2 linked regions of the Kluyveromyces lactis genome follow. The protein of the gene in region 2 purifies or fractionates together with the protein of the main gene of each other region. This does not show direct contact. Links are inferred from orthologs where the notes say so. Each region holds a gene or a part of one and is shown on either strand. Other genes may lie near its edges.

What was found.
Region 1: the proteins of RTR1 (region 2) and RPO26 purify together in Saccharomyces cerevisiae (affinity purification with mass spectrometry; 3 studies listed by BioGRID). This does not show direct contact. The link is inferred for Kluyveromyces lactis from reciprocal best matches to the Saccharomyces cerevisiae genes RTR1 and RPO26.

Annotation. Positions count from the first base shown.
Region 1 is NC_006038.1:313,134-317,157, reverse strand, and holds RPO26 (DNA-directed RNA polymerase core subunit RPO26), read right to left. Parts: upstream 1,326-4,024; coding exon 1,306-1,325; intron 1,175-1,305; coding exon 718-1,174; downstream 1-717. Other genes in the region: MLC2 (Mlc2p), read left to right, coding at 142-606; PZF1 (Pzf1p), read left to right, coding at 1,725-3,143; serine/threonine protein kinase regulatory subunit ATG13, read right to left, coding at 3,294-4,024. UniProt on the Saccharomyces cerevisiae protein: DNA-dependent RNA polymerases catalyze the transcription of DNA into RNA using the four ribonucleoside triphosphates as substrates.
Region 2 is NC_006042.1:1,171,395-1,176,376, reverse strand, and holds RTR1 (RNA polymerase II subunit B1 CTD phosphatase RTR1), read right to left. Parts: upstream 2,314-4,982; coding exon 1,678-2,313; downstream 1-1,677. Other genes in the region: RRG1 (Rrg1p), read left to right, coding at 423-1,565; EMP65 (Emp65p), read left to right, coding at 2,571-4,145; KLLA0_F12628g (NAD-dependent succinate-semialdehyde dehydrogenase), read left to right, coding at 4,467-4,982. UniProt on the Saccharomyces cerevisiae protein: RNA polymerase II subunit B1 C-terminal domain (CTD) phosphatase that dephosphorylates 'Ser-5' of the CTD and regulates RNA polymerase II during the transition from 'Ser-5' to 'Ser-2' phosphorylation.

The DNA.
Region 1 (4,024 bases), on a different chromosome or scaffold from region 2:
TACGTTTTAGACATATGCATCTGAACCAAAAAACACAGAATAGCATCTCGTTACAGAGACAACGGGTACTTTAGCAAATAAAGGTCAGTGTTGGATCTTTATATACATTGGAATAGTGAGAACAAGTTTACTAGCTTCGCGATGAATAAGAGTAGTTCGGTCACTTTTTCCCAGTTTACACAAGAGCAGATCAAGAAAATGCAGGAAGCATTCCAACTAATAGATGACGATGGAGATGGAATGATATCAGAATCAAATCTTGCAAAGATGTTGAGAGGATTGGGTAAACCAGATAATAAAGAAGATGTGGAACAAATGTTAAGCTTAGCTCCTGACGAAACTTTAACATTTCCAGCGTATCTGTCGTTAATGAGCGAATGTATGGGTGAAATGCCAGACCCAACCGAGATCAGAGAAGCACTTAAGGCATTCTCAGATAATGAAGAGCTCTTGTGTGACTCTGCTGAGCTTGAACAATGTCTAAAGGACGTCGGATTGGAAGACCCTGCGAAACTGGATCGTGTATTGGCACACTTTTCTGCGAAACAAGTATCTGGCCGAAGAGTATTTAAGGGAGAAAAGTTCGTTCAATCTATCAGTGAATGATTCGCAGTGGATATATCTAAATTTACAGTGTCTTTTCATATATAATATACACATATATTACTATTAATATTTCTGGGGTTTTCTATTTTAAAGATGCCTATGGTATGCTCTCTACAAGTCCACGATAAGTTCTTCAACCGACCAATCTTCGAACGATCCATCAGGAAGATATCTTCTGATGACCAATGGTATCTTCTTCTCTGCTAATTCTTTCATAGCGATTCTCAATGGGTCGGTTTCACCTTCCAAGTCAACGAACACTGGTGCGTTCATAGATATTTGCAAGGCTCTGGTACCTAAAATTCTGGCTCTTTCGTACTTTGTCATGTATGGTGTTGTAGTTCTATCTTCCTTGGCGATAGCCTTCTCCTTCAAAGTTCTTCTCCGACGAGCCTCCTGTTGCTGGAACTCTTCTGGACCAAATCCTCCAGCAACTATCGTGTTCCCGTTTTCATCTGTGCCTAATCCGTTCTCATCGCCAAACTTACCCTCGCCCTCATCAAATCCGTCGTAATCTGAGAAATGCTCTTGGTCAAAATCTTCATAGTTCTCTGGACCGTCATTAAATCTGTATTAGATAGTTTGTGCTTGAATTGACATTCAGCAACGCATACTCATCTAGTTAGTAAAACTATTCATGAAGACAACTTCTACGAAGAAATAATAGGGAAAAACACCTATTAAATCGCTATAACATACGCTCCCTCGTTGTCTGACATCTTTATCTATCAAGATGCTAATCCTTGATGCCGCTGATCAACAATAAAGACCTGGATAAGACAATTTATCGTCCACATCGTGTTACTGTGTTACTCGCTAGCTCATTTTCATTTGAAGCTTTTTCCAATTTTTCCAAATTTTTCAAAAATCGATTGTGACAGTAAAAGAAACGATTATCAACACTTTTCGAGATGAGGTGGTGAACTGTATGAATATGTTACTGGTTCAGCCCATTTATGGTATCCTATTTGTCTTGCTTGCATTACCTTTGAGAATCGCTAGTAGTACACAGTTACTGAAGTTCTCAGAAGGAGGTGGTAGCTGCTTCTTTTCCCTGTCTATTCTGTATGATTATTACAGTTTTACGTCCCTAATTGAAAATACAAAATAAGATTCAAATGAAATTCATAGAAAAAACCCAGGCGATGAGGTGCGATTGGGTAAGGAGATTCACGCCGATACACGGAATACCCAACCGAGTTATGGACTATTTAGGCAACGTTGTAGTAGCTACTGATGAATCTGTGATGGTCGCGCCGACATACAATAAGGAAAATGAGGTACGGCAGAATGTTGTTGGTGAAAACGATGATGATCAACAATGTTGTGTACCTACACCGCCGCTAACCAGATCAGAGTCCATGGATAGTGTTATGAGTATGGCCAGTGTGACTAGCACTGTGTCAGTTTCATCGTCACAGCGTTCTAAAGTATATTTCTGCGATTATCAAGGGTGTAACAAATCGTTCACAAGACCGAGTTTGCTCACGGAGCATCAGCTCACCGTGCATCATGGAATCAAACCGTTTAAATGCGACACTTGTGGCAAAGAATTTGCGAAAAAATCGCATCTGAATAGACACATGTTCTCTCATACAGATGATAAACCTTTCACATGTTCTATATGTGGGAAAGGTGTCACAACCAGACAACAGTTAAAGAGACATGAAATTACACATACGAAGTCCTTCCACTGTTCATATGAGGGATGTAACGAATCATTCTACAAACATCCACAACTCCGATCGCATATCTTGTCCGTTCACGAAAAGAAACTTACCTGCCCTCACTGTAACAAGACGTTCCAAAGGCCTTATCGATTGAAGAATCACATAGATAAGCATCACAACCCAGAATCTACCGGAATGTACCAATGTGACTTTCTTTCATGTACCGACGTATTTTCCACTTGGTCTTCTTTACAACAACATATTAAACAATGCCATCCGAAATTACCATGTCCTATTTGTGGGAAACCTTGTGTTGCTGAATCAGGTTTACGGAATCATATGATGATTCATGACGAGAGTTTGGTCACTAAGAATTGGAAATGTTCTTCATGTCCAGATACATCATTTGCGAAGAAAACTCAGCTAGTACAACATTATGAAGAAAGTCACAAAGATGTAGATCCAGAATTGCTATTACTGCCGACGGACGCTGATGAAGATACGAATATTAAAGTGAATACAGATATAAAGATATCAGAAACGGAGGACAGTTTTAGTTCAGGGAAAAAAACGTTACTTGATTTCCCCTCTTTCTCAAAGAAACGGAAAGTTGACGAGCTTGGATCAGTTGAAGCAGAAATAAAGATAAAGAAGTATATTGAGTCAGGGAAGACAACCAAATCATTGTTATTGAATACAGTGGGTCAGAAAAGAAAATGTCCATATACCAATTGTAACAGAACATTCAAATCAAAAGAAAAATTCGATACTCATATTGAAAAGCACAAGATTCATGAATTAAAGATGAAGATTCTTGAGGACGAGAACCAAAAATCCTCTAAGAATGACCACGCTAGGAAGATTTAAAAAATTTCAGGTGAAGTTTGTATGTGATGTTTATATCTATATATATACACATATATATATTCAAGTATAAATTATTTATAAAATGCATTTTTGAAAGAATGGTTTGAGGTCGTGAAACCATTGTATTAATATTAATTATTGATGTCATTATTAGTTGGTTAGATTCATATCACTCATAACAAATAACAAATCATCATCTTCATCATTTTTTTGAGAGCTATTATGATGTTGCGAGCTAGTATGCGGTTGTGCTCCTTCTGTGTGCAGTGGGTCGGGGCTCATTTCACTCTTATGAAATTTTGCATGGGTAGTGGTAGCCGATGTTGTAGGGTGAGAGAGGTTGAGATGTTTCAATGGAAGCTGGTTTCTTGGGTAAGAACTTACAGAAATACTTCTTATAGATCTGGGCGACCCCATAACCTGCTCAGTAGTAGATGTTCCAGCGTTAAATGAACGTTTCATTAACATTTCATCCTCATCGTCATCTTTATTTATGGTTGCTTCATTGCTGAAGTGCATTCCTTTCATGTGAGACTGTTCGTCCTCTTTAGAATCTTCATTAGTCGTTTCCATAGTTCCTACAGAACCTCTCCTGTTTATGTCAACGTTGCTTCCAGTTCTGCTCAATAGATTATGCTTGTGTCTATCCAATGAGCTTTTCCTGCTGGTAATCAATTCCGCATTACTATTGTTTCTACTACCTTGAGATAGCCTGGAGGGAATGGAACCATAATTTGGTGAAAATGAAGGTATTGGAGAATGTGAATTTGAGCCAAACCTAACATTAGGCTGGTCGATGGACATACTCATCGAAAGGTTATCGCTAAGAGCATCGTTATTACTTTTCATGGACTGAAATCGCATCAATGAGTTTGAGATAT
Region 2 (4,982 bases):
TCTACTAGTCATTCAACCGAAACTTGGCAACCACAATGTTTACAAATCAAACAATATTGTGTGTAGCTTGGTAGTAGAATTTGTTGCTGATTTGTTGCTTAAAGTACACAGGAGGCAAAAAAAAAAAATTAAAAAGAAAATGATTTCGCCCAGGATCGAACTGGGGACGTTCTGCGTGTTAAGCAGATGCCATAACCGACTAGACCACGAAACCACTTTGCTGTAAAATGACGTCTCACACGGCACCATACGAAGCATGTATAGCACGCTGATCTGTATGTTTTCAAAGTTTATGACTATTGTCAAGATGAGATGAGATGCGATGACATGAATAGATGAGTAGTTGAAAACAGGAAGAATTCAAGGTACATCCTACTCAATCTTATCAAATTGATGAAGCTCTACAAAGCAGAATTATATCAATGGTACGACCATTTGGAGAGATAGGAAGTCATAGGAAACACGTATTGGAATGGTACAGATATTCATTACGAAACATTAGGGCCAACGTACCCACTGATAATCTCCAGATTGAGCTTTGGAACACATTGAGACAAGCAGTACGACGTAACAGAAATCATAAAGCTGGCTGGTACGTACGTGGATTATTGGAGGATCTCTCTCATCTGAATAAGTATATTGTCGGCGATGATATAATCAAGCTAGTTGCTCTAAAGAACAAATACACAGAGCAGATCGAGCCTGCTCCAGAACCGTTGCAGCAAGCGAACAAACCAATTTCTGGTGTGGTGGTAACTGAAAATATGGGGGATGAGAGTCGAAGGGAAAAAAAGAAGCGATTAGCACCTATTCCTGGTGATGGTGATTTATACCGCTACCTTCTTAGATATTATAAAATATATGGTCCGACTAAAACGATACCTCGTAAACATATCGACGAGCTACTCAGACCTCTTGCAATCCACGAGAGATACTGTAAAATTTTGTACAGGATTGAGTACCGCATTGCCAAGGGCCCCCCTAAAGTTTCTATTAACTACACCAACGCTGGCCAATCCCGAATTTGGTTCATACGATCTCCATTCAATAGGAAGGCACGCCAGTCTAAGAAATTGACAGGAATCATAATTAAGGCACGGCTTAGAGCTCAAGATAATCTCGATAGATTTAGGGAGTGTGAATCCAAACTTTTCTATGCATTTCAAGAAGCACAATGGGAATATACATTGATTCACAAACAACCATGTTCACGAAAATTCAATGACGTCGTGACACAGATAAAGAGTGGTAAGTCCAATGACATCCCTGCAGTGTTCATCGACTGGATAAAACCAATCCTCGAAGATATGGACATTCTCAACCGGATAAATGCTAATACACAGCGTAAATTCACCGAAAGTAGAGATCACTTAATTGACGGAAAACAATATGAATATTATAAACAACTGAACCAAAGACTTTATAAAAAAAGGCTTGAACGATTCTTGGGCTTGAAAGCAGAGTTACCAACGACAAACCCATTTACCGAAGAGAAAAATTTAGGTGCTTTGCTTGTTAAATGGAGGTTCCTTAGACCAGATCAATTAGTGAAAGTTAAATCGTAAATAAAACTATTTTATGTATGACTATATAATGCAGGATTGTCCATATATTTTGAGTTATAGAGTCAAAATGCTCTACCTCAAATATGTTTGTACTTGTCATCATTCTGTCATTTCATCTATCTCGTCCTAAATCTCCAATGATATTTGGCTCGTTGATCTCTACGATCTTAATATCAGCTAACATGTCACTGATATCCCTTTCCATTTCCTCTCTACTATCATCGTCCGCGAGTTTCAAATCAGTCATACCACGAATCATCTGCTTAACATCAGACTCTCTAGCTAGTACTTCTTCGAGCAATTGTATCTCACTAGGTGGCTCATAATCGTCAAGATGTACACCGACCCTAGCAAACAAAGCCTCGTCTGAGAGCTGAAACTGGTAAAACTGTGAACATCTAAAATGAGCCTTAGTACAGTATTCTGTAAGGTATGCATATGGGTTATTTTGTCTTAAGAAATTGGTCATCTGTACATCTGCGAAGGGATCACGTACTCTCGCCTGGCTTTTGCTACAGAGTGGATATCCACAACGCTTCACCAAGTTCCTTTCTTGGACTAGATCCGCATAATCCTGTTTGGTAAGGAACCTTGAAATGTATTTCATCGTCCTTGCATCTTTCACGTCTTTTGTAATCAATAAGTCTATTAAATTGATACTTATAGTTTCCACTTCCCTTATGGTCAATTGTCGATGGTTTGTATAGGGTTTTAATACAACCTCTTTGATTTCTTCAATGGTAGCCATTGCTATAGTCTAATTATTTTGGTAAATTATTTCACGGTCGTAGTTGGTCAAGCAGCTGTATGAGGTCCCTTATTCATGTGCTTTTCTTAAGTTTACCTTCTTTACTTTGGCACTATCAACCCTTCGATGTGATTTAAGCAAGGACTTTATTTTAATTCAATGTAGATCGAATTCGAGCAGACAACAACAACAGAAGAAAGAAATATCCATGACGAAGTAAGGTCCTTAGCACTAACCGGTCAGTTGTGCCTCAACAAATGAGTTCACAGGATTCTGAAGCCCACCTCAAAAGGCGAAAGGCGAGGTCTAAGGAAAGCAGTTCTGGTGCTGGGAGAAGGGTATCGGTTGAACAAGACGTGAATACGGTGTCATCATCGATAAAGAACTTTATATACCAGGAGATTCTTCCCCAAACAGCCAAGGTATTCGAAGAGGAACCATGTGATCAGAGTGAGAAGTCTGTTGAATATGATCTGGAGCAGATTGCGAACATACTGAGGGTACCATTCCAAGTCGAGCAATTCTTTGTCTTTGCGATATTGACTTGTTTGAACTGCTTCTTGTATTACTTTACCATTATACCACTTAGGGTATTCCATGTATTAGTGGTGAAACGAGATGGTCCTAAAAGAATACGACAAGAGCTTCTTACTACTGCGATGATTCTTGGACCCTGTTCGATATTGAATGTCCTTGACACCTCAAGAATATATCATAAAATTAAGGGCCAAAATGCTATTAAACTATACATGATATTTCAGGTTCTTGAGATGACAGAAAAGCTCTTATCAAGTGTTGGCCTTGATCTATATTCAATTATCATGCTCAAGAAGAGTGCCAAACATAAGACAGAGATGGTAATGCTATATATTGCATGTTGTTTATGTTTAAGTTTCCACGCGTTGATATACATCTACCAGATTCTTGCCATGAACGTTGCGGTAAACTCGTATTCTAACTCCTTATGGACGCTACTGTTGTCAATGCAGTTTTCAGAGTTAAAATCTGCAGTTTTCAAGAGAATTGATAAAGAAGGATTGTTCCAATTGACTATGGCTGACGTCGTGGAAAGATTCCAGTTGATCGTATTTCTAACGGTCATTGCAGTGAGAAACTTTATCGTAGCAAGAAAGAGCTTGCGCGATGTTTTACCACACTCATGGAATGTTCATTCTACACAGTCCTTGATAGTTGGTATATTTATAGGGCCGATTGTCACAGTAATTGGAAGTGAATTGATAGTGGATTGGATCAAGCACGCATATATTATCAAATTCAACAGAATCAGAGCGCATATCTATGAAAGGTATTTGCAAATTCTTTCCAAGGACAACCTATCCAACAGTATCCAATTCCAAAAGAGGTTAGGTTTGCCGTTCCCGCCACTAATAGTAGCCTTCCTAGTACTGGTATGGCCTGCCATCAGGCAAACGATCAAGAATAATATCATCTGGTCCACTGTTCTGATAATATTTGGATTCCTATGGGCTCTACTCACAAAGCTAACACTTCAAGCAATACTGTTGAGATGGACGTTACATATCCAAAACAAACAAGCCAGCTTGCACCCAGATCCTTTGTATATCAATGGCCATCTCTCTGCTGGAAGAGGAATGATGGATGAGGATGCCCGCAAAATGACACACTCTAGCCAGACAAGAACTTATTCACCAACAATTACACCACCAGGATCGCCAAAACTCGCTGCTTTTGAAAAGAAGGCAAGCATCCCACCTAGCCTCAACGAGCAAAGAACCAAGAGAGATCTGAAGCATCCTAAATCGCTAGAGTCCGTTGAAAGATACAAGATGGTATCAAAGAGGATTTGGTAATATTTAGGTGCCTTAAGCAAAGGGCATAGCAAAATGTAGTGATTATACAGCAATATATAGACCGAGCATAGCAAGATTAAATAAGAATTATCAGAATTTGATGCATGCTGATGTTAACTTCGGCTCCGTCTCCTCTTTCCAACCTTAAATAGTGTATCATCTCTACACTACATAATGGATATTATATAACATTTAATATGACGCACTTTTTGCTATTAAGAGCAAGCATGAAGCAATAAGAGCAGAACTTTGTATATAAACGGCGATCCTAATGGCTAACAAATTGTCAAGTCGCTGAGTGTGTTATTTCCAAGAGTTAAGATGTTCCGCAACTCGAATACCCTAAGAACGCTAAACCTATTAAGAAAGATGTCTTCTAAAATTGAGAACGATTATTTGATACAAACCAAGGCCTTTATCAACGGTAAATGGACAGAAACTGACGACAAGTTTGCTGTAACCAATCCCTCCACCGGTGATACGATCCGTGAGGTTACGAACTGCGGTGTTTCAGATTTTAACAAGGCTATCGAAATTGCCCATGATGCATTCGGGACGTTCAGACAGACCAACGTCAGAGAGCGCGCGCAGATCTTGGACAATATATACAACTTGATGCTAGAGAACAAGCAGGATCTAGCCAAAATCTTAACTTTGGAGAACGGTAAACCGTACAAGGACTCACTAGGTGAGATTGTGTACTCTGCAATGTTCTTCAAATGGTTTGCTGAAGAGGCTCCAAGAATTTATGGAGATATTATTCCAAGTGCTGTATCCAGTGACCAAAAGATCTTTACAATAAGACAACCATTGGGTGTTATTGGTATTCTAACTCCG